Regions from separate parts of the Mus musculus genome. Here all the other regions are reported to be linked to region 1. Evidence: microRNA targets listed by miRTarBase, many of them from high-throughput screens and not tested one by one. Region 1 holds a microRNA gene; each other region holds the end of a gene's coding sequence.
The links. The annotated mature microRNA mmu-miR-124-3p reads UAAGGCACGCGGUGAAUGCC and lies in region 1 at 5,299-5,318, opposite strand. An mRNA with a match to its seed (bases 2 to 7 or 8) in the 3' UTR can be bound and repressed. Matches are read on the target gene's strand: a 7mer-m8 pairs with bases 2 to 8, a 7mer-A1 pairs with bases 2 to 7 and ends in A, and an 8mer does both.

Region 1 (10,707 bases):
AAAAGGAGTGTTAAAATCCCCAGCCTAAAGTTTAGAGATAATGATAAAGTTAATGATGGAGATGGTGATGATGATGATGGTGGTGATGGTGATGGTTGTGGTGGAGGTGTTGGTGGAAGTCATGATGGTTGGCTAACAGTGATACCAGTGGTTGAGACTAATGATAATGAAGGTGACGAAGATGGTAATGATGGTGTTGACTATAGTCATGATAACTTCACATTGACTTCCTTGAACATGTCTGAACTTATACCCAACCACAGATGGGGAAGCTGAGGCACAGCAGGTGAGGAAATCCTGACTCCATGAGTGTGAAAGTGTATCCTTAGATCTTTGTGCTATGTGAGTGAGTGAGTGAATCAGCTTTCTACTGGCATTAGGATGCCCTGCTTTTTATCCCTTGGTAGTAGCAGGTGCCAGGTGGAATACAGGGTGCTTGCTCAGCTCATTCCTGTCTCCTGCAGACTTGCCTGGACCTTGGCAGCACTCACACACAGCCTGGTCCTTAGAAGAGGCTCAGGAATACTTAGGTGAATGAAAGAGCAGAGAGCATGCAGAAGATCTAGGGCCTTATCCTGTGTGCCTGTCCCATGCTGAGGTAGGACTTGTCTCTAGATGAGGATACCTCTGTCTCCCCTGTCCTTGTTCATAGTGATTAACTTGTTCTGTCTAGGCAATGTTCGAGGTCACTCTGGGGCCTGGCTCTCCACAGTGTCACTCACCATCCCTGTCCAGGTATAGAATCTTGAAGCATCTCCAAGGTTCCACCTGTGGTGAGCATAGGCACCTGGAGAGGGTCTTCACACACAGAGACACACACAGACACAGAGACACACACAGACACAGACACACACACAGACACAGACACACACACAGACACACACACACACAGACACACACACACACAGACACACACACACACGCGCGCGTGTGTGTGTGTGTGTGTGTGTGCTGGAGTATTCTGTGTGTGCCTCAGCTTTGTGCTGCTTCACTGTACTTCAGACTGCCTGAGCTTGCTCCACGTACTTGGTGCATATTTCTATTCTGTTCCAACAGAGATGGTGCTCCCTGGGGAGTGTTGACTCTCGGTGACAGCCTGGGACTGAGAAGATTCTCAAACCTGGTCCTTTTTGGGCCATCCTTCCATGTGGGCTGACACTGTATTTAGAGTTGGGCTTTATTGTGAGTAGTTCAAGGATGTTGATTCCGGCGCTCTGGCTATCTGGACACACACTGAGAATAGCTCCGTAGCTCCTGGTATAAACTCACAGTGGTGTGGCCCCAGGGGATGAACAGGCTAGATAATGCCCAGTCCTCCAGGTGCTAGGCTCATCTCCTCTGCTCATGGTCAGTGGTAGTTTGGGTGACAATTCAGGCAAGAGAAGGACTACATAGGTTCTACAGACATCTCTGGGGTAACCTGACAAGACCTGTTTAAAGTGGCTGAGAACCAAAGATGGGACCTAGCTCCCGGGAGAGTGCTGTCACACGACAGAGTGCAGCGTGCTCCTGTCCTGCTGAAAAGGCCTCCTATCCCCTCCATCAGAGCCTCAGTGGAAACGGCGTGTATGTGGACTTCTAAGTTGTGTCTGGCCCCCACTCGAAGCACAGATGATAGCTCTATCTTTTATCTTCCTGATGAACGGCTTTCTAGGTGGTGGAGATTGCCTCAATGTCAAGGCTGTGGCAGCCAGGTAGGAAGTGTAGACCTTGGAAGGGCAGGCATGTTGCTATTATTACTATTAATTTTTGTTGCTATTATTACATCTTGGCTGATGCTAGGAGCTAGGGACATCTGTACCTAAGCTCTGAAGGGATGGGAGCAGCTGTGAGGGTGTAGGTGGCACAACAGGCTGTGCAAACGGACCCTTTTCATCCTCCCTTTAAATCAAATTCTGCCCGAGCCAGCACTTTCACGGTTCAGCTTCCAAGGAAGCCTAGGCCTGCTCATGTGACCAACTAGGAGGTCGCAGGTAGCCATGGGGATACTGGTTTACCCTTCTGGTCAAGCTGATGCTGAGGAGCAGCCTAGACCTCTGTTGGTAACAAAGGTCCGGGAACCTGTGTTGGGTAAAGGCAGAATCCTGTAGAATTTAGGGTACGAGTGGGCAGGCATGGGCTAAGGTAGAGGCCCCTGCAATCTGGACTCCCATGACTTTTTGATCACACCCCTGGGAGGTGCTGCCAATGAAGCTCTATTGTGGAAAGTAGAACTTGTGTGCCATGTGGACTGGGCATAGCCTGAGGCTGGGAGGAGATCTGTGTGTGTGCACTAGAGAAGCTGATACCTGTCTTGCTTCCTCTTGGATGGGGCCGCCATGCAGAATCAGACCCTCTTCGCTCCCTCCTGCCAATTGAAGTTCTTCCCACGTTTTCTTCTGTCTCTCTAACAAGCTATGGCAGGAGCACTCTAGCATCTTAATTTTCCCTCTGAAACATCTCTGCCCCCACCCGCTGCATCAGGAGTGAAGGTTGGGGCGATGAGGCGCAGAGAGGCTGGAGCCTCGGGTAGAGACTACCAGAGCACAGACTTCAGGGCAAGCAGTGCGGGGCTCCTGGATGCTTCCACGTGAAGTGCTGTGACTGGGAGCTGGAAGTATGGAGACAGGAAGCTGAATTCTGAAGCATCTCCAGTCCCAATAGGACAAAAAGGCTAAAAGTGACATGCTCCCCTCTGGAGAGAATTAGGGTTTCCCAAGAAAGCTATGAGGTGACTGCTCTGGGACAGCAGCTATGCTGCGCTTCATTCGGAGTGGAGATGTACTATATTGGATGCTCGAACCGTGTCTCTCCTTTCTCTAGTCCCTACACTTAAGAGGGCCCAGTGCCGATGGAGGTTTATGTGAATGTTCTGAATGTTCTTTCCCCAGCTTGCTGTTGACCAGGTTGGCACCCAACAAGCCCGTATGCTGAGCCTTGGCTTCTAAATAGATCAGGCAGTCTATGTAGGGATGAATGTATTTTAGGATAAACAGGGATGGACATCCAAGCTAGCCCACAAAGGCTACAAAGCGCGGCTGCAGAAAAGGCTGCTGGTCCCGAGAGTCAGAGAGTGATGCTTGCACTCAGCCCCCTACGGGTAGATCTGAGATTCTAAGTCACCTGCGTGAGGCCTGCCCACACCCCAGCAGACAGTGCTGCACCCTGAGCACAGTAAGGATTGAAAAATGGCCTTCCTACCGAATGCCCCATGTCTGCTAGCCATGCCCAGATTGGTCCTGTGCCCCTGAACTGAAGCCCCTAGCCTCCACTGAAGGGGGTGCAATGAAGGTGAGTGAAGGTGATTGCTACTCAACCTGGGCTGGGGCACAGGGCAGCTTGCCATGGGCTTTACCGCCTATCCACTCTCCAGCCCACCTCCCTTACCATCCTCCCCACCCCGATCTCTGCTCACAGCCCAGAAGGTCACTGTGGTCAGGAGCCAACTCTCCAGCAAGGGCAGCGGTGGCACAAGAATGGAGCTCTAGTTCCAGGGGAGAGGCAGGGGGAATCTTCCCTCTGGGAAAAGAGCCAGGCTGCAGTGTAGAGCACCCCCAACAGAGCTCAACGAGGGGCATAGTCCTGTGCCCCCTAGGAACCTTTACACTAGAGGACTGATACCTCTACCAATTCCTTCAGTATTGCTTTGAGTTCACCTTGCAGCTCTTCTGAGGGAGGAAGGGAAAAAGAGACAGCAAGCCCAAGGTCAGAGCTGTGGTATGCTTGGGCCCCTTCTCCACCCTCCAAGAGGCAGAGGTTCTGCAGAGGCTCTGCTTTGGGGACAGGATGCAAAGGCACTAGTGGTCTATGAGTGTGTGACTGTGTGCATCTCTCCATGGAGTACTGAAGCAGTCTCCCTGCAGCATCTCTTTGTGTCTTCACGCGGGCCCTTTTGTCTTGCTTTTCTGCAACTGCACAGGACTTGAGGCTAGGAGAATTTGGGCGGTCAGTTCTGGATCTGGGTCAGAGCCAGGAAAGGGGCTCACACTCACCCCATGAAGATGAAAAGCAAGTCTGCAACTTGTCTGAGGGGGTGGGGGTGCAGAGGTTGTGACCTCCTCCACTGACAGTCAATCCTAGGTCATCAGTTTCCAACCTGTGTATCAGGACTCCTTTGCCAAACTCTATCTCTAAAAATATTTACATTAGGATTCATAACAGTAACAAAATTGCAGTTATGAAGTAGCAACAAAATACGAAGTAGCAACGAAAATAATTTTATGGTTGGGGGGAGGGGTCACCACAACATGAAGAACTCTATTAAAGGGTAGCAGCATTCTGAAGGTTGAGAACCATTGCCCTAGGTAATAGGGCCTGTAACCTTGGGGATCGGAAACCTTGCTGGGAGGAGACATGCCAGAGCAGAGTCTCATACCAGGACGCCAGCAGGTGGCGCTGGCTGCCGAGGACAGGAAAAAAAATGCCTGCAGCAGACCTGAGTGGGTGTCACTGCGGCTGCAGATGGTGGTGGGGGAGGGAGGAGGAGGATTTGTCATTTTCTCTCTGGGCTGCAGAGCCTCACGTGCCTCGCGTCCCGCATAGCTGGAGAGAGGTTTGGGGGCGGGATGCGGTCCAGTGTATCCACCCAGATTTAGACCTTGGATGCAGATGCAGATCCCCCACTTCCACAGCTCGAACCTCAACCTAAGGTTCAGGGGTTTCTTCAGAATCAAAGTGATCACCGCCTTCACCCTGCGACCCCAACTAGAGCGCCCAGGGGACAGACTGCAGTGACCCCAGACCCTACCCCATTTCTCTGGGGTTGCTGCGGCAACTATCCAGGGCCCCCTAGATGGGAACAGTGATACTCATGACATCCCTTCGCCCCAAGCGCATTAGCGCCCCGTCTCTCTGGGTGACTCCACGGCCAGCACCGAGGACAGCGCCCAGGACTGCCCGTGGGTAGCGGGACGCGCCAACACAACCCGGGAAGCTGCACACTTCCCTCCCGCGCCCCTCAGCCCGCCGCTTCCCCAGCCCCTCCCTTTGTCTTCTGGCCCTCGTCTCCCTCTTCGGGATCTCGAGCACTCAGAGCTGCGGACACACGTGGTCAGGGGCCGGGTGGCCACATTCTCCCCCGCGGTCGCCCCCACCCTTCTCGTGACGTCCTAGGCATGCGGGCCCCTTTGTGTCCCGCGGCCAGATCCCCGGCCCAGCAGCTGGGCCGCCCTCTGGGCGGGCGCATTGTTCGCCGGATTTGTCCGCGGAGCGAGGGGCCACCGGGGGCCGGGGCTCGCCTTTTTCCCGCGGGAGGGGCGCCGCGACGGCCGGGCTCCCGGGCCATTTCCATGAGAAAGGAGCGGCGGAGGCGCCTCTCTTGGCATTCACCGCGTGCCTTAATTGTATAGACATTAAATCAAGGTCCGCTGTGAACACGCAGAGGGGCCCTCAGGGCTGCGGCGGGCGGCGAGCGGCTGGACCGGGTCGGGGCCGGGCTGCGGCTTGCGTGGGGTCCTAGCCTGAGGGGCGCGAATGCTCCAGCTTCTTCGCCGCGGGGCGGGCGGGCGGGGCGGGGCTCCGCGCTAAGCTGGCAGTGCTGCCCTGGTCCGCCCCCAACTCCGAGGAGCCAGTTTTCCTTCCCCTCCCCGAGGTAGAGAAGGGCCCGGGCAAATCCCTCGGGGCGTTCCTGCAGTAGGGACCCCTCGGAGCCGCGGCGAGGGAGATGCAGGAGCCGGCCGGGGTGAGCGCGCGTGCTCCGGCCTGCTGCAGTCTTCTGACGGGTGCAGAGCCCTCTCCACCCCGGCGGCGCAAGCCTCTCCGCAGCTGCCCTTCCCCGGCTCCTCTTCCCGGCCCCACCAGGAGTGCGTGAGTGCGGTGAAAATAAAGAACCTCGATGTTCGGAGATGAAAAGCAGTCTCTTTCTACAACCCGCCGAGCTCTCTTCTCTTACGCCTCTGGCTGGCGAGAAGCTGCTCGAGGAGAGAAAGACGGGGTGACCTGAGAGACCGGCTCGCCCCGGCACGGGCCGCCAGCGCAGTTACCCGTCCGGGCGCGAGCCGCCGCCGCCTGCTGCTTCTCGGTTGCCGCCTCCGCTCCGCAGCACAGCCTGCGCTGTCGCCCGATCCCGCCTCCGCCTCCTTCTTGGCGCCCGCAGGACCCGCACGCTACGGCCCCGGGTGGAGGAGAGCGCAGGGACAGTGCCAAGGAAGCCGGGCAAATTCCTGAGGGCCGGGTGGGAGCCCGGCGTCCGCGAGGTCGGCACTGCGGGAGTCTGACTCCCACTCTCCTTGCCTAGACCGGGTGCGACCGTCCCCGCGCTCGCCGCCGCCGCCGCTGCCTCCGCTCGTATCCGCGCTCGGCTCCGGCACCGGGCGATTATCACTGGGGCGCGCGGTGACGTCACCCGACACCGGCTCTGCCGCCTCCTCTCGGAGGTGTCCTTGAGAACTGAGGGGCACGCGCACCGCGTACACGCGCACTCACGCACCGCGCGACCCGTGCCTCCCGCGCACACGCTCGGCGTCCCGCTCCGCGCGCTCCTCGACTCACACGGATGCAGCCCTCGAACGCCTTCGATTGTGCCCGGCGCCCCGGGGTCACACGTATGCAGAGAAACTGCCTCTTGGACACTCTCGAACCGCTCATTCTGTCCTACTGCACGACCCACGCAAAAGCTTCTCCCGCAGCCCACCGACCGCAGCTCCTCTACACCCACCACCAGCCACACCCCGCTGTGCAGCGAACACACTGTGCTTGCCTCACACAAGCGGCTGGTCCTTCCGGAATAACCACTCTACACAGTGGCTTCTGAGCCTCTCTCTCCTGGGGGGGGGAAAGAAAGGGGTCCTAGCCTCCTGCTGGCGGCCCTATGTGGAGAAGGGAGTTAGACATCTCCCCCAACCCCCATCAGAGACTGCTCCCCTTTTTCACCCTTTTTCTAGCTGGGTAGCGAGTCCTTGCTTACGAGGATGGGAGAAACACAGTCCATACTTCACAGTTGACTGCAATTGAATCTACTCTTTGCAGTCTATTGAAGGGTGACTACCTTGATCTGGGTCTTTAGGGCTAGAGATCAGCGGCTTTCCAAAAATAAAAAACAAAAAAAAAAAAAAAAAAAAACCCACGCCACTCTAGGCCTTCCCAGCGGGCCTTTGTTCCTGCAGACTGGAAGAACCACACAGAAGTAGGCAGGCCTCTGTCCTATCCTTTCTCCCTGGGCCAACCCAGCCCTTGACCACCTGCCCTCTAACAGAAGCTAAATGACCCAGGCATAAATTCTTCCCCCTCCCTTTCCAACCTTCTCCAGCCCCGTGGGAACCCCCGAAGACACTCAGCTGGGAAGGAGGTAATCTCCGGAGATCTCATCCCACTGCCCGAAGGTCCTCAGAGGGTCAGGATACTTCTCTCCCAACCCCAAATCCTTCCCTTTGCAGGTGCCAGTCTCAACCGACGCTAGAGAATCCCCTCTTACACAGACAGCTAAGCCCACCTTTGCTTATGCCCAACCCAAAGTCAAGGAAACCACCCACGGCCTGCCAGCACCTGCAGCCCGAGGGACACTGGCTGGTGGCTCAAGAGTGGAGGATCTAGACTCCGAGCAGAGGCTACTCCCTGTTGGAACCAGCTCCTCTTTGCCTGGCCAGTGGTCCCTCTCCCTAGAGGGTACTGGGTCAGGTCCCCAGCACCGTCCATGACACCAAACCTTCACGGTCTGCTGTCCATGGTGTAGACAGCAAAGCCTGCCCGAATCGCTTCCCATCCGCGGAGCCTGGATCCTCGCCCAGAAAAGGCGCTCCCAGGACAGCAGACCCTTTACCATCCCTCAGCCCCACCCTCGGCTTTTGCAGTGGTCTAACACATCTCCGCTTCTAGCCTGCCCAGATCTCGTTTCTATTCGGAGGGTGCGCGGGGGTGGAGGAGGCACTCCCAAAGAGCCTCGGATTTAGGAGCGCGCTTGCTACGGGGCCGGCTCCGTACAGCGACTCCTCAAAGACCAGTTCCCTTCCCAGGCCAAGGACCTCCCTTCGGCCTCCCCTTACTATTCGTGAGAGATATTTACAGCAAGCCAGAGCATGGTACATAGGGAGTCTGGGAGAGCACCCCTTCCATGGGTCAAACCAAGTTTAATTTTTTGCATCTCCGCCGAAACGTGCCTGCGCGTTTCCTCCTGGTACTCCTATGCACTCAGTCCGGAGCACCCGGTTTCTCTATTTCCAATTCCCTGCGTCCTGCCGCCCGGCCCTGAAGGGCTGGGGGAAGGGTTGTCCTGGGTGTGGGGGTGGAGCTGCCTGTGCGCTAAGAGAAGGGGAGCCCACCCCAAGCATTCCTCTGCCTGTTCCTTTGAGTCTGCCCGGTAGGGATCTTTTTGATGACCGCGAAACCTTCAGAGTCAACTTACTGATGCTGGGCCTTGGCTCAGGTTTGTTCTTCCCTGGACTCCCCACGGCCCAGCCTCACCTCTCCACGCTCCTTCTTCCCGGCGCAGCCGCCTCTCCCCAGCACACTGCGAATTTGTATTTGTGGATTTATTTATTTGTTAGCTCCTGGGTACGTGAGGGAGAGGAAGGGGCACGAAGGTGGGGCGACACAGTCCAGTTGGCTCAGGCTCCAGGTTCCAGGCCGCTGCTCCGCGCGCACAAAGGCCATGCGCGCCGCAGCCCGGCAACTTTGAGACGGGTCAGGTGGCTCAGGCGGGGTGGGGGTGGGAGGAGGAAGGGAAGGATGCGGACTAGACCCCCTCCTTTCCCCTCTTGCCCTCCATCCGCGAAAGCTTGCGATAGCGTGGGATTAAACAGATCAACAGAAACCCGTGGAGAACTCCCTCCCTTTCCGCCCTTTCTTCTTCGTCACACCACCGCCCCCTCCTCTGCAGGAGGCTTGTCATTCCTCCAGAAAGGGGAGGGGCCTTGATCCACATCTGGGAACAGCTGGCCCACAGTCTCTTGACCCTTGATCCCACCCTGGCTGTGAGGAAAGGAAGAGTTGGAGGAGAAGGCCTTCAGGCTGCCACAGGGCCCACAGTCCCCCTCTACATGCGTGGCCTGGGGATGGAGTGGTAGGACAGATGCAGGGCCCATAACACAGATGTGGCCAGCAGAGGGAACAAGGGATCAGCTTTGCTGGGCTGGGTGCAAGGACTCTAGGCCCAGCTGCAGCCCCACATCCCTCTGCAGGATTTAAATGGTACATAGCCTCTCAGATCTAACATGGGTGGTCAAGGCTTGAAAGCCTTCACACAGGAATGTCACAGGCCTCAGCCTCTTCATACCCAGTACAGGTGGCCTTAAACCTCTCTCCTGAGGGCAGCTTGTCTCCTGATGCAGCTGGAGTTGAGACTGAAGCTCTCAAGACAGGGCATGTACTTGATGCCCAAGGGGAGAGGCTTCTGAGAGCGACCCCCACCCCAAGGTACCTGGTGACACTTCACTGCCCGCTTTAAGGAGAGTTTAAGGATGAGTGACTCCCACCCAACATTCCGAGGGTGTGCTTTCCACCTGGAGATGCAGCTAACTCTGGCTGCCCTAAGCTATGGTCTGGGTGGGGCCAACGGGGAAGGAAAGATCTGGCCTTGCTCCTCCTAGTCCTTTGTAGAGGTGGGGGGGGGCGGGACCCCCACCATGACTGAGTGCTGAGGGCGGAGCTAGCCACTACAAAGACTGCAATTGTGAGTGAGGTTCTTGTGGACAATGGAGAAGGGGGTGCGGGGGGGGGGCACGAACAGGGCCCTGGGCCCTCCACATGGAAATGAGGCCAACCCCCCTTTTTCTCTCTCCTTTCCCTCCTCCTCCCTGAGTAGAGTGAGCACCGTGGACAGAGCTCAGATGAAAACCCAGGGAGTGAAACTCATCGTGGCCCCCCGGGGTCCCTCAGAAACTCCACCTGGGCCTTCAACACTGCATAGACTTGGAGAGCCAGGTAACGGCAGGCTGGGGTGGGGGTGGGGAGCGAAGGAGGAATACAAACAGGAGGCAGTGTGTATCCGCAAGGGCTAACCAGGGCAGGACAAAGACTGAGGGATCCAGGCTGAGCTGCTGGCCTGTGGCGGGCGGCAGCGGCCGCGGCGGCGGGAACAGGCCTTTTGTTCTTGGGGTCCAACCTTTTGGCTATCCTTGGCTAGGCTCTGATGCTCCCGTGAGTCCTGTGTTTTCAGGTGACTCACTGGCCACCCACCGTAGCAGAGATGGCACACACTGTTCCCTTCAACTCTCTACCTTTCAGAGTGGGCCTTGGCTTTTATGTAGAAAACTTCTCTTTCCGTCTAGGCCAAGCCTGAGACCCCAGGCGGAGTGCTGTGGGAGGATGGCTATACTCCAGGGGTATTTTAAAAAATTGTTTAATAAAATTTACATTTATGTATTTATTCTTTGTTTGTTGCATACATGTATTGAGGGAATGTGCCACAGTGTGCACGTGGAGTAGGTCACTCGTGGGAGTCCATTTTCTTCTTCCATTATGCAGAATCAAATTCAGGCTTGGCAGCTAGTGTCCTCACCTGGTGAGCCATCTTACTTCCACCTAGGAACCTTGATGTCAATAAAACCATCTGGGAGCCAGGAGCCAATACTGCTCCTATACAAACCAGAAAAATGGGTCAAGCATCACAACAGGCTCTTGGGGAGGATGCTTTCTGGTCTCCTTGGAATTCTGAAGGGCTTCATAGACTCAGTCCAGGCACAGAGACCTTTTGGCAGGGTTACCCCTCAGAGGCTCCTTCTTTTAGAACTTAGGCCTCAGGGAAGCCAGAAGAGGCCCCTGAAGAGCAGAGGCAAGGATTCCTGGGAGCCTGAG
Region 2 (10,707 bases), not on the chromosome of region 1:
CAGCCCCCAAGATCAAGTCTTTATTTCTTTAATTATCTATTTGAAAATGTCATCTTGCCAATGATATTGCACAATGATCTGCCTGGGGATATAGGGTCATTTGTTTTGGATAATACAACACTTCTGCCTTCTGTCCTCAATGAGCTGTAATCCAACCCACTCTAGAAAGTATGGCCTATTGTCTGTGCTAGATGTATAAGCCAAAATTCCTTTATCGTTTTTCAAATATGGAAAACTATATGAGAACAAAGCAGAGAACAATAGATTGTGTTGGAACAAAGAATATCCTCAATTCTACCTTAAGAGTTTAAGGAACATTTAAAGAAGCAACTGGGCTAAAAGTGCTGATGCCCTGTAAGACAGAGGTCAGTATTCCATTGTGCAAATGGAAAACAGAAGTTGAGGCCCAATAATACAACAGCAAATGGGAAGGCCTAAATTTGCACACAGCAATCCTTACCACTCACACAGATGACGGGAAAGGCTTAACATACTCAGAGTACTGCACAAGCACAAATCCTGACAATGTTAACAGGCAAGACAGTCACAGATATAGGACAAACTAGTCCCCTGGAAACCCAGTCAGAAATACTCACATTCAGCTAGTTGACAGAATTCTGCCCATTTCCAGGGTAAGATGCAGTTGATATAAATAGGTCCATCAAGAACATTTCCCACTAGGAAAGCTCTCATAGGACTTTGAGTGGTAAAGAGGAAAGTAGACAAATGGTTTGAGAGCCTGTTCTGCATTTTGCCAACTATGTACTCATACAATATTTATTCTACAGGTCAGTCTTTCCCACCTGTACAATATGCAGTATATATTTTTCACTAACTTATGGTGGGAATTAAATGAATTAGATACAAACAAATAACTGATGTTCAAATATTATCTTTTTCTGCTCTACTATCCCAAATACCTTTTACCTAAATACCTTAGAATTAAGTGAGAAAATTTGCATCCAGTTGATAAATACATAATGCTAAATAAAATATTAACTCTATCATGGCAAAATTTTCTTTCTAGAATATAACACAAAAAAACCTTGTAAGTCTGATCTAAACCACAATGTGCATTATGTTATTTATTTTAGGGCTTTGAAAATTAGTTCTATAAAATTTCACATATACATGTAGTAAGGACAGCAACCGCCTAAGATAGTTTGGATATAGTTATTTTAAGAACATGACGGTGCACTTTTCATGTAGTAAAATTCAATAAGGAAAATGTTCAAATAGAAAATCTATGCCAGCTTGCACAAGGGCAGGGATAAAAGAATTCACCTGTGCTTTGATATCCCATTTGTCTACTCCTTAGAAAAAAAATACGTGCTCCCTTGTAGATCTGGAAAGTGTGAGCAAGTCTACATACAAAGAAGAATGTATACTTTTTAATTTTTAAAGTATGGGGAAGATGAACAGTTCATACCTGTCAGGTAAAATATGCACTTGCTGTCACAAGACTCAAGCATTTCTACTCTAGTCTTGAGCTACCATCTTGCACAAGAGAAATATTCTGATAGTAAGGATTATTCTGAAGGGTGGATCAAAGGGAAGAAAGAAGGCACCCTGGATGAAGTTGTAATGCTTTGAAGTACGAATAATTTATGGAAAAAGGTGAAACTCAGGGTTTTTTCTTTATTTTCTTTGGACATTTTAGTTTAGTTTTTGGTCTTATCTACTATCTTAGGCTAAGTTTATTTTTAAAATTTGTATGTATTTTTATTCATGTGGTCAGTGTGTGCTCCACATGTGTGCATGTGCTCCCAGAGGCCTGAAGACTCAGGTGGATCTGTGTCATGCATGTGACTGCTGGGAAGTGAATCAGACTCCTCTGCAAGAACAGCAAGTGTTCCTAACTGCTGAATCATCTCTATAGTCCCCTAAATTTATTTCTTAATCATGGTAAAATATACTAGGAAATTTGTATATCTACTTACTCATGTAGTAGATCTTTATAATGCTTGATAAATATACTAACCGTCAAGGTGAACTTGACTTTTTGTCTTTCTTCAAACTCTGGATATATTCACAGATTGATCAGTAGAGAAAAAACCTTGGCAAACAAACTATGGTTATACAACAAGGACGTATCTCTTTCACTTCATCAAAAAAAAATAATATATATATATGAATAAACAAAATGTTTACCGTGGTTACTCCCAAAAATTCAGAACAGGTTGGGAAGTGAGCATTTCAGTCAAACCCTACACGGTTTTCTTTTTGTCCAAGAGGAATGAATTATCATGACAATTTTTTAAAAGTTGTTTTAAAACATCACTGTTTAACCCAACAGTGCAGGTAGCACATGAAATAAAGAAATGAGATGCCCAAATCCTTAACATTGACATGATAGGTAGTAAATACTTTCTAGTTTGAAATTTGCATCACAAATGTTTGCCAAGTTTTCCCTGGTTCTCCAGACTTTGTAATTTCTGTGTAAATTTCATTTCTCAATCACTAACTTTATGAAAATACTATCCACGTATTCATAAACCACCTCAGTAGAAAATGCTAATCCTCTCTCTCACTCTCTTTTAGAAAAAAAAGGCAACACATGCATTTTGTTTATTTGGTGGGTTGGCTTAAATTTTTTTGTATGTTTTCAGATTAATCATCAATATTTAATAGTGCCAGGTTTGACCAGCACAGGTCCACATCACATGGCAAGGGGTCATGTACTCGCTGGCTGAGCTCTGAACCCTGAGCACACCTCATTCTCTACCCACAGGCCTTGGGTGTGGGTACCTTCAGAATTCGTTGTGCACCCTTTTCCTTATAAAAGTGTATGGGAAAGGGATTTTTTTACTTCACAAAGGGCAAAGGACAAAGGACATTGACTAACAAGCTTGTTAGGTTTGTTACTGGTGGGTGGGGTGGAGGAGAGGTAGGGACAGGTGGAATACTTCTTTGAAAGTTAAGTGAAATAAGCCAGACCAGAAAGGGAAAAATTTCATTTCCCTCGTTTTAGGAATCTAGAAGAACAAAAAAGAAGACACACAGGTAGAAGAGAGACCATTAGAGAAGAGGAAAGAGTCAGAGGGGAGGGGAGGGACAGAGGAGATGGAGTGGTGGGTAAGACCCAAATATACATATGACTGAAAATGTCCCAACAAATCCCATCGTTTTATGCAAGTAATGAAAATTAACCAAAGGGAAAGGAAAAATGAAGGTGTCTTCATTGTTCTTAATAGACAACCCAAAGTAGTCTGTTGGAAGAAACTGCTTAAAGAGAATGAAAAAAGAACACAAGAAAAACTAACGAACAAACAAGCTGCAACGAATGTGATTTCAAGTAGGAACCCAATGAAGAATTCTTTTAAAAACGTAATTACAAACAAAATAAAGGACTATTTTCCAACTTCTAATTCACTATGCTATATTGGCCCACTGACACTGAAGCGTTTTTTAGTTTCTCTCTTTCCCCTTCCAGTGTTCTACCCCTGACATAATTCTAAACCTGCAGGCAGTAAACATTCCCGTCCTTTTGCCCCTCCTCCTGCTCAGTGCAATAGCTTGCAAAGATAAGGGCAGCAGCTGTTGTAAAAATCCTATTAACTCCGTGCTCTGCACGGCTCCTGTGGGTCTGGCATTTGGCGAAGTGCCTGCATCAAGTGCTGGGATCTTTTCCTGCTCAGATGGTTCTATTCAGTGGACAAGGTCACAGACCTTCAGTTATGGCTGCAAACACTCTGAGCAGATATCTAACCCCAGCTTGACCTCTGGGAGGGAGCAGAGGGCCTGTGCAAGATTGCAGCCAAGCCTAACATTTGGCATCTGCTGTCTGTGAAATCTCCAGGGCTGATGCCAGAATGTCTTAATATGAGGGTAAAAGGGATCTTTGTCTACCATGTCTGTTAAACTTGCACTCAGCAAGCCTGATCACAGATGTGGTGCTTAGACCACATCTCCAGTAAAGGGTCACTGAATGTTTCCTGAATGGAGACTTTGGAGGCTGTGCTTGAGGGATTAGATACACTACTTGCACACAAGGTTCAAACCAGTAGGTGCGAACTCAGAGCACTCCCTTGGAGAGATAAAGAACATGACTTGTGTGGGAGATGGGCTGGATCCCATGAAGGTGAAGGCTTACCAGTGTTCATTACACAGAAGCAGCCAATGGAGAACAGTCTTGACTGTGAGGTGAAGAAAGAATTGAAGGTGACAACTGAACTCCATCTCACGAAGGGCAGATTTGATGAACCTGCCACATACCTGTTGCAGTGGGCCCAGCAGAGAAAAGATTCTGTTTGCCTATGCTGTAGAAATCTGCAGATTCAGGGCTTAACCAAAGCCACGTTCATAGAAATCTTCAAAAGTGTACATCCCGGCTGTATACAGGAGCTTGTCCTAAACTGTATCTTCATAGAAGAGTTGGCTTTTCTTAATCCCTACCTGAGACAGATGAAAAGTCTTTTCATACTCACACTAGATCACATCATAGGTACCTCCAGTATGGGTGATTCTGAAAAGCGTGATGAAGAGAAAAATATTCAGATTGACTTCTCAACTTCCCACACTCCACTGTCGCCAGAAACTCTATGCAAACAATGTCTCTTTTATAAAAGGCAACCTAAAAGAATGCCTCAGGTGCCTGAAGAAGCCTTTGGCGACACTTTGCATCACTAACTGTGACCTTCCAGTCAGCCTTGGATTACCAGCCCTATTGCCTGAATATTTGTGAGCTCAAACATCTTTAACTTAGTGAGATATAAATATTTATGTTATTTACTCCTTGAGCCTATTGGGTTTCTTCTTGAGAGTTAGAGATACCCTGCAAACCCTGGAATTGGAGTCATGTGGTATAGAGGACTCTCAGTTCAGTGCCCTGCTGCCTGCCCTAAGCCAATGTTCTCACCTCAGAGAGGTCGATTTCTATGATAATGTCTTTCTGCTTTTCCTGAAATGACTTCTACACCACATAGCCAAGCTGAGTCAGCTGACCCAGGAGCGATACCCTGCCCCTCTGGAGTGAAAACATTGTCCTGAGCTCCTGGATATACTCAGGGCCAAAAGACAGCCCCAAATTATCGCCTTTGAAACAACTCAATGCTCTAAGTATATGGTGGGGCCTATATTTATGATCTTGAGACCAAATGTTGCTTTTTTGCAGAACTACTATAAGATTGATTGTGAAACAGAGAAATGGAAGCTTAGGATTGGAGATTGATGAAATCCTAAGTGAATGTCCACTGCTGAATGGAGCATGGAAATGTCAATCACCTAAAAGTCTGAGGCACACTGGAAAGTCAAGATCTTCCTCTGAGCTAGTGAATGATGTTGCATCTGCAGAAAGTATCAAGCACTCTTCTCCTCTAGGATTCTTGTAGTTTAAGTGTGTTACAATAGAGGTACGGTTTTATGAGACTGGCCCCCTCATAGAATAAATGTATTGACTTATAAAATTAAAGAAAGAAAAAGAAATGGGCTAATGAATAACTCCCCAAAAGAAGAATTATGGGCTGGAGAGATGGCTCAGTGGTTAAGAGCACTGACTGTTCTTCTAGAGGTCCTGAGTTCAATTACTAACAAACATCTAGGGGCTTATAACCATCTGTAATGGGATCTGATGCCCTCTTCTGCTGTGTCTGAAGACAGCTACAGTGTACTCATATAAAATAAATAAATAAATCTTTAAAAAAAGAAGAATCATAAATAACTAATAAGAATCTCAAACTCATTCAACATCCCCAGCCATCAGAAGTGCTCTGAGTATAAGTACTTTGAGATACCACCTCACTCATCAGAATGACCATCATAGGAAATCTGATGGCAAACGCTGGCAAGGAACTGAGAAAAATGAACCCTTGCTCACTTCTGGTAGGAGTGAAAACTAATATAGCCATTATATAAATCATTATGAAGAGTTTGTAAAAAATTAAAAAAAGAAATGCTATGAGTCAACTATACCACTCCAGGGCATAGGATTCTATATCCAACCACATTAGTCACTGCTCCCTTAACAATAGCAGGGAAGTGGAAATAGCCTACATGTCCATGAAGAGATGAACCAATAATAAAAATGTGCCATTATACACAACAGAATCTTTTTCTACTATGAGGATGAATGAAAATTTGAAAATTTCAGAAAAATAGATGAATCTGGAAAATATAATTTTAAGTGAAAAGATCCAAATTCAGAAAGACAAACAAGTTCTGCTTCATATGCCGATTCTCATCTTCAGTGTGTGCATGGATACAGATGTTGAGTCCAGATGTGATGTGACTTTGTACACAGTACAAAGACAAGGTATGGTTAGGTGACAAGGAAGGACAGGACATGGTCAGAAAGACATAGGAGGGAAGTTACTGGAAGGCAGCAAGGAGGGTGGATAGGGAGGAGCATGTGAGAGGGGAAATTGACTACAGCACACTTTGTTCAAAGGGCGATGATGATATCAAACACTTTTTATATGCTAATTTTGAAATAAGTAACAATAATTGGGAGAACACAACTCAGTAAAGGCAAATGAAGATTCTACAAACATTTTATATAGAAATATTTTATGAAGCTTTGACAACATAGTAGATCATTATGTCATACTGTAATAAAGGTGAAGGAAAAGATTAAACTGAACGACAAAGAAAGTGCTCACAGCAATGCATGGCAGTCAGTCTCCATGAAAGTGCATCAAAAGTTAAGGCAATGTCCCATGTTGGTACTGCATGTTACAAAAAGACTTGCAGAACAGTTTTAAAAAAATATTTACAAACAGTTTTTTCTTTATTCTTCTCAGGGATATTGAAAGGGGAACTTTTGTGACTATTCTTGCTCTAGAAAAACACAGAGATGACAAACACATCGGCCCAAGTCAGTGAAGGTAAAATGTTCTATACAGACTCACTGATTTGCAGTCCTTTCTTAGTGTGGGCCGCTTTTCTGCTTGTAAGGTGCCAGGTCAGTTCTCTCATTTACCAAAATAGTTAGTGATGGCTGATGACAGTGACTCTGGTTACATGAGGTCCTCACCCTTAGCTTCCAGTTTCTACAATCACACTAATAACAAGCTTTAAGTCCTTCTGTACCACACTAGAAACCTACAACTTTTCTTCTTTCTGCAGATTTTGAGAGTCATTTTATGAAGAGCCACCATACACACATTACTGTAATATTTTGCCCTTTCTGATGGTCAAAATGCAAAAGTTATTCCATGAACCTTTTGGACAAGTCTAGTTACACATTTCATCCTCCACATACAATAAATTCCTTAAGTTCAATGGGATTAATAAGGATAACATTCATTATCTAACTATAACCTTCATACATGGAGGAAAAACTTGTTTCTGTAATGTAACTGAGAAAAATATCACTGATCTTAAAAAAAGGAAGTGGAGCAGAGTTTTACAAGAGTGAGTTTTAGGGTGAATTGATTTATCATTCCAGTAGATAATAAATATCTGCTAAGGAATAATTTTACTCACCTGACAACCACTCTTTAAAATTTAATATACTCATAAGAGTAAGGGAAGTTCATTTTACCATTAAACCCTTCCTATACACACGCTGACTGCCTCTCCCTCTTCCTATTTTCCAATGTTTACATGTAAGGAGAAATAACCATCTTTGCTGGCGATGGTTAGTTAGTGCTCCTAGCCCTTAAGGCACAGATGTGGTAAAACCAGAGAGAAATGCAGGCATTTATTGGGATTCTGCAGTACAAAATAAGCACACATGCTCTCCACAATCTAGTAACAGGGGCCACAGCTAAACTATTTTTATACAACAGATGTATTCGGTTGATTTTCATCTGTAACTTCTTTTTCATCAGGACCACAAACAAAAATCTGGTTGCCCAGAGTCTTCTGGGCAAATCGGAAATACATAAGATGTCCCATTGCCACAAAGGAGACTGAAATCAATACCAGCAAGCCAAAAGCTTCAGGATTTGGGGCCAAGATGACCATGATGAAATGCAGAAGGTCAAGAAGGTAGTTCATGGAGTTCTGCACACCATTGATAATGCCTCTTTCAGATTCAATTACATTTTCTTGCAGCAACTGTGTCACCGTCAAATCAAAGGACCAAAGACCTGGATGGTAAAGAATATTTTAGGAGGTGAAATTTTAGTGTATAATTGAATGTACAGTTACATAGCTCACAGTATCCAAGTGAGTTAATATATGCAAAACACATTGAAGTTCTACAACCTTTGAATTACCTATATATAGAACAGATTAACCGCATTTTACCTTATATAATTTATTAGCATATAGTATACTATATAACTTACTAGTATGTGCTAATGCCTTCAAGAATGATTTCCCCAGCCACAAGATAAAGCTGAGTCGTAAGTTTCTCAGTAAAAAGCATCAAGGATGCAGAGCCTATATAGATTCTAGCACTTCTAAAGTTTAGAGTGACCTAATGTACTGCCACAGCTAAAGAGCACAGAAACTTGAAACCACTGTTATATTGCTGCTTGAGGATCATAGGGCTCCCAATAAAGCTGTCTTGACTGAGTATTAATGTCCCTGATAAATTAATGAATTGCTCTGTATCACAAGATAAATATGGTTTCATTTCAAGAATGAATGAATTCAGAGGCCATTCACCAGCATTCCATTAATGATTACTGAAATTCTGCTCTGTAAGTGGCCTTTCCATAATGCTTCCGGAAAGAAGTTTAAAACCTCATATGTGAGTCAAAGTATAGAGTAAATGCAAACAGCTACAGAAGACTTTTGAAGGATGTTTCTTACAACCACTCTGTCTTTAGAAGAGTGTCTTTGTCTGTAAGGCAATTCCCTAGCATGCAGAAGGCTCTGGGCTTGATCCCCAGTAACACACACACACACACACACACACACAGACACACATGGAAAGGGGGAAAGACTTAAAAATATTCCATTAGGGACCTAACTCAGAATTAGAGGGCTCACTTGACATGCATGAGGTCCTGGGTTTTCTTCCAACACACCACAGACACACAACTTAGGAAAATAAAAAAACCCAAAACACTTTATACACACACACACACACACACACACACACACACACACACACACATATATACATGCAAACATATAGTTTAAACTATTAAGTGAAATTTCATGTTTAGAGAGTATATTCTATAGATAAACTATGGGTTTTGCCTAAATTAACATCTGTTAAGTACTTCAGATAATTTATTGTTGAATTCTCTACACTAGGTTTCTAAAATGATGCTTGTAATTTTGTAGTATGCAGAAAGAGTGTTCTTACCGATTCTAGCAGCAATGACTCCTGCAAACAGCAGGCTGACAGAGACTATGGGGATGGGTTTAGTACTCATCTCATGGACATTAGACATGTTGGACATATGCATTTCTGTTGTAAAGACGGTCTCAGGTATTTTGGTAGTTGGGGACACTGGCTCCACATTCACAAACCTAGAACGGATATCTTCAAATGGAGAAACAGACAGGTCCAAGGGGCTTCCAGGCATGAATACGGAGATCACACACAAGATTAAACAGGAAAGCTGGGCTAGTCCTGAGAATAGACCAGTCCGAACAAGGCCACATTTTCGACGTAGCCAGGTGAAGGCCACAGTTCCCATTATTCCAGTTATTGCTGATGCTCCCATCAAAATACTAAGGATGGATCCACTCAGCCCCTGAGTGTAGGCGTACCCTGTAGTGATACAGTCAAAGCCCAGGACTGTCATATAGAGGAAAGCCAGGCCCATGCCAGCCAGAAACACTGGCTGGTTATAGTAGGAGACCCATCCATCTCGGAAAGTGCGGAAGGGCTCTGCCATCTGGGAGGCACAGGTGGGCTCTTGTTCACATTCAAGTTCACGGATGTTGGAGTCTTTCTCACCCATTAGATGAGTTCCCTCCAAAGGTTTTGGCTCAGTATCTGTTAATAAGAAACATCATTATTTTAGAGGAAGAACATGAGGAGTAAAAGCCAATTATTTTTGATTTCCCCACTCCCTTCCTATATGAATCTCCTTCAGTACTACATTATAATCTGTTTTTCTTTTACTGCTAATTTACGAAGTACAGCCATGGAATAACTCTCAAATACCAGTTTTGCTTTCAAAATACTTTTGGTCTCTTTATAAACCTCTCTTTCTTTTAGATATTACACTCTCATTGAAGTAAACTGCAGCAACATTCATCAAATAAAGCATAAAAATTATGTGGCGGGGGGGGGGGGATATCTTCTTTTCTGCAACCTCATAAAGAGTTCATTTACCAGAAAACCAGCCTCCACTCCTCCTGGAAAAATCTTGCCTCTCTTTCTGCCTCCCACAGTTTCCAAAGGGCGATTTTATTCTCCTCAGAAAATATTAAGAAATGCTCATGTTCCCATCGTCCCATTTCTATGGATCATTTTCCCAGGCCTCCTCAAGCAGTTGTTTTCTATGCCCACTGCTTCATGAAGAAGGGCCAGGGACCTCCCAAGCCTTTTTATATTCAACCCACAGTTCTTTCCAGAATCTGAAAAGATGATATTCCAACTCATCTAGGCTTTCCCTGGAAACACAGCCCGGACTAGAACTTGGTCTTCACAGAAAAGTTCAAGGTCTGAGTACAGAGCTAGTGGTTGTGCAGTTACCTTTAGGTGAGGTCAGCTGCTTCAGTTCTGACTCCTCTACCTTGAGAGCAGCTTTTACAGCCAGAGCAGGGGTCTTCTGGTAAACCTTCCAGAGCAAGAAGTACTCCACACACATGGACACCAAATTCCAACCGGAAATAAAACCACAGCCAATGACTGGA
Region 3 (10,707 bases), not on the chromosome of region 1:
CCTGAGTTCAAATCCCAGCAACCACAAGGTGGCTCACAACCATCTGTAATAAAGTCTGACGCCCTCTTCTGGTGTGTCTGAAGACAGCTACAGTCTGCTCACATAAATAAAATAAATAAATAAATCTTAAAATAAACAAACAAAAATATGAAAAAGAAGAGGAAGAAAGGAGGAAGGAAGGAAGAAAAGGAGGGAGGGAGGGGGAAGGAAGAAAAGGAGGGAGGGAGGGGGAAGGAAGGAAGGAAGGAAGGAAGGAAGGAAGGAAGGAAGGAAGGAAGAGAGGAAGGAAGAAAGGAAGAAAGGAAAAAAGGGAGAAAGGAAAATTGAGCTTGAGCTGGGAGCAATGGTGGTATTCGTGCCTTCAATCCCAGTACTCTGGAGGCAAATGCTGACAGATCTCTGACTTTGAGGCTAGCCTAGTCAACAGAGTGAGTTCCAAGACAGCCAGGGCTACAGAGAACCCCTGTTGTTGTTGTTGTTGCTGTTTGTTTGTTTTGTCTGTCTGTCTGTCTGTCTGTTTAAAATAAATCTGGTCTGGCAAGATGGCTCGCCAAGTAAAGAACATTTACTGACAAGCCTGACAATCTGAGTTTGCTCTGTGGGACTCACATGGTGGAGGGAGAAAACTGACTCCATGAAAACTGCCCTCTGTCATCTATACACATACATGCACACACATTCACACGTACACACAAATAAATTGTAATAAAAACACATCTATTTTCCAAAACAAAAAAATAAAAAATAAAGAGTCTCACTGTGTGTGCTATATTTTTTTTCTGGATCTCTTTCACTATAGCTAAACAGAGAACATTCAGTTTGCTGTCTGTTTCCACAGTCAGTCAGTCTGTCACTATATCCTGCCATGGTCTCTCTGCAAGTTCCACTGTGTGTTCATACGAGACCATGTAAACAGTGGAAATAACCCATTACTGTTACAAAAAATAGTTTTTGGTCTTGTGACCCAGCGCACACTTTAAGAACCAATGTCCTCAGCCAGGCGTGGTGGCACACACCTTTAATCCCAGCACTTGGGAGGCAGAGGCAGGCAGATTTCTGAGTTCCAGGACAGCCAGGGCTACACAGAGAAACTCTGTCTCAAAAATAAGAAAGAAAAAAAAAGAAAGAAAGAGAGAGAGAGAGAGAGAGAGAGAGAGAGAGGAAGGAAGGAAGGAAGGAAGGAAGGAAGGAAGGAAGGAAGGAAAAGGAAAAGAACCAATGTCCTCGAGAAGCTGGAGAACCTGCATAGGATGTCCTGTAGTGTCATTTGTCCCCTGTAATGTGTGTGCCATGAGAAAGCAGAGGCAACATACCTGTCCATCAACAAGGGACTTTCAGCTTCATGGAAGCCACAGGAATGTTAAATTTCTGTCACTTAGCACGGGCTAGCACGTGATGCTCAGTAAGTTCTCATGGTAGGGGAGAAGAAAGGCAATAGGGACAACTTGAAACTTGCCATTTTAATTTAACTCTTACCTTCCCACCAAACAGGAAGACAACAGCAGAGGCCTGTGTATCTAGAGAGCTGTGCTTGGTACATGCGTGTGTGGTCACCTATGCGTGTTCGTGTGTAGGCTGGAGGCTAATGTCAGGTGCCTTCTGTCATGTTCCAACCTTAGTTTCTGAGGCAGGGTCTTTCCCAAGCCTGGGACTTGTTGACTTGGTTAGGCTGGCCAATGAGCTCTGGGAATCACCTGTCTGCCCTTCGCTTAGGGTCACAGAATTTCGAATGGGTTCTAAGGATAAAAACGCAATTCTTCCTTCTTACACTTAACTTGCTGAACCATCAATTTAGCTCCACACATACAGACTTACACACACAGACACTTGCTAGGTAATTCAGGCTAACATCAAACAAACTCTGTAGCCCGAGGCTGCTCTCAAACTTTCAATTTTCCTGACTCAACCTCTCAAGTATTTGGATTACGTGTGTAAGTCACCACACCTGTCTGGGGATTTATTTATTTATTCTAAAATGAAGGTTTATTTCTGATGTCTTAACTTGAAGCTACAGTTTTAAACCACCGGTTGCAAACACTGCCATCTATAGGTGAATTAAGATCTCAACACACTGTGGATCTAGGGACCTTTACTGTTTAAAAAAATTATACAGCTGGGCAGTGGTGGCACACGCCTTTAATCCCAGCACTTGGAGGCAGAGGCAGACGGATTTCTGAGTTCGAGGCCAGCCTGGTCTACAGAGTGAGCTCCAGGACAGCCAGGGCTACAGAGAGAAACCCTGTCTCGGGAAAGAGAGAGAGAGAGAGAGAGAGAGAGAGAGAGAGAGAGAGAGACCCTGCTGCTCTTCCTCCCAGTGCGCTGTTAAGTGGCTCAGGGACCACATCTGGGCCCTGCACTCAGGGACACATCCACATGCATACACACATCCACACAGATGAACAGAAAATAACAGATGCAGACAAAGGTGCTGAGACAAAGGAAACTTACACACTACTGGTCCAACCCCTGAAGTCAGTATGAACAATCTGCGGAACACTGAAAATGGATGCACCACGGGCCCGGCTAGAGCACTCCTGGGTGCTTACCCAAAGCACTCTTAAGCTAACATATTACAGACACACTCACAGGCATGCCCGTGTCTGTTGCAAAACAATCGACAATAGCTTAGTTATGAAAGCAACTTAGGTGACTCTGAACAGAGGAATGGATAGAAAAGAGGAATGGATAGAAAAGAGGAATGGCATGTGTTGTGTGTGTATATTTAATCAGTCTCAGAAAGACAAATATCACATTTTTATAAATCATATAGATATTATAGACATGAAAGAATGATAACTGTATAACGAACAGACAGAATTAATGAGAAACAAGAAAGGGAAGAAGTATGTTCAGAGTACACTACACATTTGTATAATGGGTGGGGTGTGATTTCCTTGAGGCGCTATCGCTGCGCTGGTAGATGTTTCTGTGGACGCTAGAGGGCAGCCTCCACCCACCCAGCTCTACGCAACCAGCGCTCACAGAGCCCAGTCCGCACCATGCAGCACACTCCAGCTTGTAGGAAGCAGTTGTGGGCTCAGATCTGCGAGCACAGCAGGGTAGGGTTCGAGAAAACTACCACCCTCAACTTGGAGAGCGCTCTGGAAGTGGAAGTTGACAAGAATATTGGGGTCTGAGGTTGGGCCCCTCAAAGTGAGGTGCAGTGTCATTCCCTGGTGGAGCTGGAAGCTTGGGTGGCCGTTCTCAGACGTGGGGGTCCTAGGCCTGATTTCCTCTGTATGCAAGAAGGAGGGCCCCGACTTGGTATCCTTAGATCAAGAGAGGCCAGAGGTCATGGGGATGGAGAGCAGAGGTGCAAGGTGCACAGGGATGGAGTCGCTGCACACCACCCAGGACCTTCATCCTGCTGCTTGCCATTCCGTGTCTGTTACTGTTGTACACCGTATCTCATCTGGGTCCAAGGTCAAACAACAGGCATGCATTAACTCAACTCTGCCAGGTACCTGTGCACCAAGATCTGCTCTCTTTGCTCCATGAATGGCTGAGGCCTGCTGAGACAACTGTAAACCAGATGAGCTACAGGACTCTGTTTCAGAGACCGCCTTGTCAGAGCCGACTTTGCACAATGCCCCTGACCTGCATTGAAATTAGCTGAGGTGGGGAATGATGGTGAGCCATCTCTCCAGCCAATTAGTCCTGGCTGTTCGCTTTTTAATTATCACCTCTGGCTGATATTTCACAGCTGCAGTGGCAACTCTCTATCACTCTGATTTTTGCAAGTGTTTTAGTGACAGCAGGTCTCAGGCATGTCCCTAATACTCTAAACCAAGACACCTTGGTGGGGCTAGAGAGGGGCAGTTAAGTAAGAGACAGTAAGTAAGTAGACAACTGGCTGCTCTTTCAAAGATCTGGGATCCAGGGTTCAGTTCCCAACACCTACGTGGTGTCTAACAACCAGAGGGAACTCCAGTTCTAAGACATCTGATACCCTCTTCTGGACTCCACAAGTACTTCGTGTACATACATATATATACACACACAATCTTGGGCACTGAGTGGACACATGAACACACATACACACACAAGCATTTAAAAGACAGCACCTTTTGACATCAGCAAAGACATACTTTATTTGCTTAAAATGTTAGGGGAGGGAGGGAACGGGTGTTGACATACCTTCGAAGATTCTGCAGAGTTTCTCTGGGCAGTTAATGGCTTCAGCCTGAGAGGCCTACTTTATTTCTTGAGAGTGGGTCTGAAGTTAGCTCGTGACTTGTCTTTGGCAGGACTCTGCTTGCATAGAATTACGACTGCTAGCCACAGCTACAGTGGGACGTGGGACACCAGGGCGAGTTGAGAGTAAGGAGGGCAAATGAGGGAAATTGAGAAGTCTCCCTCAAACAACCAAGTGATAGGTAGAGGGATCAACAGACCAGGACAGAGGATATGCATATGCCAAACGTAAGATGAAGACTATTTCCTCAACCAGAATTCCTCTCAGGCAACACGCACATAAATTTCTTTTGGAACATGAGGCCTTCATTCTCTTCCAAGCATGTAAGGCACAAGAAAAACTTGTCACTAATGTTCAAGTGGACGAATGGGGTAAAAGGCCTTTTTGCTAAGCAGTGATGGTTTAAGGAAACTGAGTTGAGAACAGAGCCCAGTTGGTGCTTGCTATCATGCCCAAAGCCCTGAGCTGGGGATGGCAGTGCACGACTGTAATCCCGGCCCTCTGGGAGGCAGGAGGTTCGGAGGTTCAAGGTCACCCTCAGCTACAAAGGGAGTTCATGGTTGGTCTGGGCTATTTGAGATGTGTCTAAAAAGGAGAAAAGAAGAAGAGAGGAAAGGAAGGAAAAAGAAAGCAACTGTGTGCTGGACTTAGGTGGAAGGATTTGGTTATCAAAACCAAAAACCAAAACAACACTAACAGCCCAAACTGACGGAGCCCAGAAAAGGTCCGGGCATGATGGTTCATGTCTTTAATCCTACCACGGGGAGGCAGAGGCAAGGAAGTCTCCAATTTCAAGATCAGCCTGGTCTACACAGCAAACTTTAGGCCAGCCAGGGGTACATGGAGAGATTGTCTCAAACATAACAAAACAAACCCTGCACCACTACTTTCAACATGAAGGGACTTCTGAGGAGATTGCCTAGCAGGAAGGACAGACAGTGCGAACCTTCACCCTCCATAGCACGCTCACCCGCAGTGAAGTCCTTAGTGCTTTGTGCAAGCTTCCTTTGGGGGAAGTCTGAGGAGTGTTGATGTCTTTTTCAGACAGGGTTTTCACTTGGCTTTTTAACTTTTATTGTAATTATTCAATCACATTATAAATGGGGCTTGTAAGGTGCTGGTTCTATATGATGACGGAAGGGATGAAATTGGAAGTAAAATATGCCAACACAGAAACCAGAAGTTAAAAGCAGTGGGTGATGCCCTGGTGTCATGTGAGAAAGATGGTGTGAGCACAGCTCCCTTTGAGCCTGAACAAAACATCAATCAGTAAAGAGTGAGGCCACAGCCTGGGCCAGCCCGAGAGCCTCCCCTGCCAGACACTGACCCGGGGAGCGACCTGTGGATCTAGGAAACAAGTGATCAGCCTTTTCTCAAGGCAGGCTGTGAACCTGAGAACTGGTGTCAGGGTACAGAACACGCCTGCTCTGCACAACGGGGCTGGGCTGAGTCACATCTGCAAAGATGTGGTTACAATTCTTTGTATTAAAGTCTAGGTGGTGACTAGTAAGGACAAAAGGGGTGCAAAGGGTTTAAAAGTAGGCAGTAATGATGGGCCTGTGCACAGCACAGAGGCCAATACAACAGTGGCCACTAGTCTTAGCTCTAGACCTAATACTATCCCAGGTAAATCACCTCACACGCCCTGTCCCGCCAAACCCATTCATCTTTAACTTGACTCCAGAACACTTCATTGAGGAAAATACCAAAACTCTGTAATTTACTAAAAGTCACTCAACTGAACACACACCGCGAACCCTATGATGTAAGTTGTACCTAAATAAAGCTACTTTTAAAAGGTGTGCCCACACCATACACATACCATGAGAAACAAATGTAAGCTGACGGGCACACTGCCTGGCACAGAGTTAATTATAAATACTGATGGTCAGAAGCCTGGCAGGCAGACAACTACTTAGATCCCAACTACTTAGGGAGCTGAGGCAGGAGGATCACAAATTTAAGGTCTGCCTGGGCTACACAGTGAGTAAAAGACCAGCCTGGACAGCTCATCAGGATTCTTTCTGGCACGGGAGGTGGCGAAGGAGGGTTAGGGCCATAGTTTAGCGGTAGAGTGCTTGCCTGGCTCAAAAAGACTAGTTAAACACAGTGCTGAAAAGAAAAGCGATTAGTCTATTTCCTTAGAGGCTGGTTGAGACTTGAGAGATCATTTAACTCAACACCCCTTGCTCTGCAGATGAGAGAACCGGACAGCAGGGACTGAAGGGCCTTCCCGAAGGGACAGTTCTCAGATGAGAGCCCAGGCTCCTGGGTTTTCTTTACTGCCATTGCTGTTACCACTGCCTACCCCAAACGTGGAAGTGTCAGACTTGGAGGACACAGAAGACGTGTAGAGATGTTGGAAAAATATTCTACGACCATCAGACAAGCCAAAGAGGCTTCACATACCATCTGTTACCCTGAGCCCCCAGCTGGGTGGTCATGAGAGCTCAATGTTGGAAGGGCCAGGCCTGGTTAGCCAGGTATCCAGCTCCCCACCATGGCCAGCAGTCTGGCAGAGAAAGGCCACAGGATCCTGCTTACTACTTCCTAACAGGATGGCTGCAACAGCAGGAGCTGCGACCAAGGGCCTGCGGCAGGCGCCTGCCTGGGCAGTCTGCACACAGCGCAGAGCAAGGGCAGCGGCTACCAAGCCTCTTCTGCCCGGTAGCCCGACTTCCACTCTTTCTCCGTCTTCCTCTGGGTTTTCAGGCTTTTGGCTCCTGTCCTGTAAACTTTCTCCTTTTCCTAGAAACCTCTTCAGATAAATAAGGAATCTATCAGGAGGTGTGAGAAGATGCAAGCTTCCTGCCTTTTCACTATGATCACTATAGCTGAAAGATTTTGAGGCTTAAAAAAAGAAACGGAAGGAAAGGTTAGTATCCAAAGCCAAGCAGTGGAAGGAGAGGTTAGAAAGCCAAGCAGTGGACGGAGAGGTTAGAAAGCCAAGCAGTGGAAGGAGAGGTTAGAGTGGAAGGAGAGGTTAGAGTGGAAGGAGAGGTTAGAGTGGAAGGAGAGGTTAGAGTGGAAGGAGAGGTTAGAGTGGAAGGAGAGGTTAGACCTTTCTAACATTTCAGGAGACATTGAGTCAACCCTCTGGTTCTTAGGAATGGTGAATCCCGTCCCCACTTTTCATAAAGAACAACAACAATTTAGGCTAGACACATGTACAGAACCCTGTGGAGACAGACAGAAGGAAAGGCCAGAGGAGGATTAAAGCCGGAGATAACTTTTATGATTTAATTTAGTATGCTGAAACTTCTCAATAAATAGTTCATAAAACTGCCTCATCACTTTCGGCCGACGACTGGCACACACTCAGTGGACGGGCAGGGGCAGGCCCTGTCCCTTCATCTGATCCTAGGGCCCCGGTACAGAGCAATGGAGAAGTCTGCCTCCAGCCTCCCCACACCACCTTCCTGGCCTGCAGATCACTCGCTACAGTGAACGCTCTGGTGCCGGAGGAGGTGGGAGCTCCGACTGAAGGTCTTCTGGCACTCCTGACACTCATATGGCTTTTCTCCAGTGTGAATTCTCTGGTGGATGGTGAGCTGGGAGTGTTGGCTGAACGTCTTCTCGCATTCGCTACACTCATAAGGTTTCTCTCCAATATGAATCTTCTGGTGAAGCAACAGCTCAGAATTATCCCAGAAGGTTCTTGCACACTCATTACACTGATGGGGTTTCTCCCCAGTGTGGATTCTCTGGTGGACAATCAGATGAGAGGTCCGCCTGAAGGCCTTCCCACACTCAAAGCACTCATAGGGTTTCTCCCCTGTGTGAATCCTCTCGTGTCTCAGGAGCTCCGAGTTACCCCTGAAGGCCTTCCCACACTCTTTGCACACATAGGGCTTCTCCCCGGTATGAATTCTGATATGTCTAATAATTTCTGAGTTCTGGCCAAACGTTTTCCCGCATTCACTGCACTCATAGGGCTTGTCCCCTGTGTGGATTCTTTGATGGCGGATAAGCTCCGAGCTCTGACCAAAGCCTTTCCCACATTCATTACACAGATAGGGCTTTTCTCCCGTGTGGATTTTCTGATGTCTGATGAGGCCGGAGCTGTGCTTGAAGGCTTTGCCGCACTCACTGCACTCGTGGTATCTTTCCTCTGTGTGAATTCTCTGATGCTGGATGAGCTGTGAGCTAACCCGGAAGGTCTTCCCACACTCGTTACACTCATAGGGTTTCTCTCCAGTGTGGATTCTCTGGTGCAGAATAAGGGCTGAGTTCTGACTGAAGGCTTTACCACACTCTTCACATTTATAAGGTCTTTCTCCAGTATGGATTCTGTGATGGTGAATCAGATGTGAGCTCTGAATGAAGGCCTTGCCACACTCAGTGCAAGCAAAGGGTTTCTCTCCGGCGTGAATTCTCTGGTGCCTTCGAAGGCTGGAGTTAGTCCCGAAGGTCTTTCCACACTCTTTGCATTCGAAGGGTTTTTCTCCGCTATGGACTCTCATATGCTGGATGAGATGTGAGTTCTGATTAAAAGCTTTCCCGCACTCTTTACACGTGTGAGGCTTCTCTCCCACAGGAGGCCCCTGAGCTTTAGTAAGCTCTATACTCCCCAGGCAGTTGTGGCCAGAGGCAGCACATGCGCTGGCCCTCTCAGCACCTCCATGACACAATACACTAGGGTTAGGATTAAAGCCTCTCGGATTCTCACTGGTTTTCTCACCTGAGGACGACTTCTTGAAGATAAGTAACCCAGATGCAAAGTGTCTCTCCTGAGGATACCTTTTTTCTATAATCTCTTTCGAGGACTCTCTCAAATGTCCCTCTGACATGTCTTCCTCGCTTGCTTCTCCAAACTCATGGCCATGGCAAACCTCCTGTGCAAGTTTTTCTACTGTTTGCCCATGTGGCTTGGAGTCTTCAGAAGTTTCTTCCTTGGGAAGTCCCTCCTTTTTCTCAGTCCCCATATCACAATCTGAAAGAAGAGAGGGTACTCATGTGAGGCTGCTCTGTCCTATCTAAATGACACTGCAGGTGGGGACACAGGGCCTGGACATGGCATTGGTAAGACCCAAAGACAGTCCTGCCAGTGAGGCAATGGCAGACTGCTGCTGACCTAAAGGAGTGAGAAAAACCCATAAGAGACAGAACATCTGATAGCAACAGGAAGTGTGCAGTGCAGAGATGCTGGCAGGAGCTGTGTGGCACTGTCAGTTACAGGAGAATTCAAAGTGATAAAGAAAGCACTGTGGGGAATTAATGGCCATATTAACAAAGGGTGTATGAAAGGGGTTAGAAGAAACCAAAGTGCAGGGCAGTGGTGGCGCACACCTTTAATCCCAGCACTTAGGAGGCAGAGGCAGGCGGATTTCTGAGCTCGAGGCCAGCCTGGTCTACAGAGTGAGTTTCAGGACAGCCAGGGCTACACAGAGAAACCCTGTCTCAAAAAAACAAAGGAGAGAGAAAGAGAGAGAGAGAGAGAGAGAGAGAGAGAGAGAGAGAGAGAGAGAGAAGAGAAGAGAAGAGAAGAGAAGAGAAGAGAAGAGACTGATAAGTTAACAGAGACAACTTTTGAATGTAAGATGAAAGAGCCACACAGTGTTGAGCAAGAGGATGCATCTTTTTTTTTTTTTTTAAGATTTATTTATTATTATATGTAAGTACACTGTAGCTGTCTTCAGATGAACCAGAAGAGGGCATCAGATCTCATTATGGGTGGTTGTGAGCCACCATGTGGTTGCTGGGATTTGAACTCAGGACCTTCAGAAGAACAGCAGTCAGTACTCTTAACCACTGAGCCATCTCTCCAGCCCCCAAGAGGATGTATTCTTTCTTATCTGTATTACCCAATAGCCCTAAAGAGCAGTGCACAGGGGTTACCTACTCAAAGGGTGATACAACAGCACAAGAGTAACTTCTTAGCCCCTTACTTTTGGGTGAAGTGAGGGTAAATGTGCTGAACTGCACTAGGTTCTGACTCCCTACAGAGCCGTTTTAGGATGATCTCGACATTGTTTGCCAGCTGAGCAAACACCAGGCTTGCTATTGTGTCATTGGAACTCACTCCTGTGACAGGGACAGTAAGATTCCCAGGACAATTATATTAGTTAGAAGTAGGCTTGACTTCATGTAATAATGTATGTATACTTTTTTTTTCTTTAAACAGAGTCTCACTCTGTCTAACTGAGGCTCACACTCAGGATTTTCCTACTTATGCCTCAGGATTATAGACACTACGCCCAAATACAATTTATTTTTTGAAACAGGGTCTTCTCTCTGTTTAGTCTTGGCTGTCCTGGAACTCAGGCTGGTTTGAACTCAGAGCCCCTGTCTCCTGAGTGATGGAATTAGAGGTATGTGCCACCATGCCTGGCAATAATGAGCTTTTTAAGAACCACGCCTTAGCCAAGGCATTAACATATTTCTGCCTTGCATAAATGAAGGCCAGAGGCAGGCATTCTACAGTTGGTATGACAGAACTGTGAAGGTCTCTGGCTCTTCCCAGCTCAGACTCCCAGTCTTAAGAGTATGCTGGTATATTCCTAATCAAAGGT

Region 2: miRTarBase lists Slc40a1 as a target of mmu-miR-124-3p. Seed matches in the 3' UTR shown: 8mer at 7,599-7,606 and 7mer-A1 at 6,640-6,646.
Region 3: miRTarBase lists Zfp3 as a target of mmu-miR-124-3p. The part of its 3' UTR that is shown has no 7-base or 8-base seed match.

What each region holds. Positions count from the first base shown.
Region 1 is chr2:180,888,694-180,899,400 of GRCm38, reverse strand. It overlaps Mir124a-3 (microRNA 124a-3), which reads right to left and starts at 5,361; the gene lies at 5,294-5,361.
Region 2 is chr1:45,901,690-45,912,396 of GRCm38, forward strand. It overlaps Slc40a1 (solute carrier family 40 (iron-regulated transporter), member 1), which reads right to left. Exons shown (of 8, transcript NM_016917.2): 6 at 10,547-10,707; 7 at 9,203-9,841; 8 at 6,381-8,030. The coding sequence ends at 7,717. It also overlaps the pseudogene Gm18303. Among named protein-coding and RNA genes, the nearest start is that of Slc40a1, 19 kb to the right of the region's middle.
Region 3 is chr11:70,769,630-70,780,336 of GRCm38, reverse strand. Zfp3 (zinc finger protein 3) reads right to left here. Exons shown (of 2, transcript NM_177565.3): 2 at 7,409-9,128. The coding sequence starts at 9,120. The coding sequence ends at 7,627. Among named protein-coding and RNA genes, the nearest start is that of Zfp3, 11 kb to the right of the region's middle.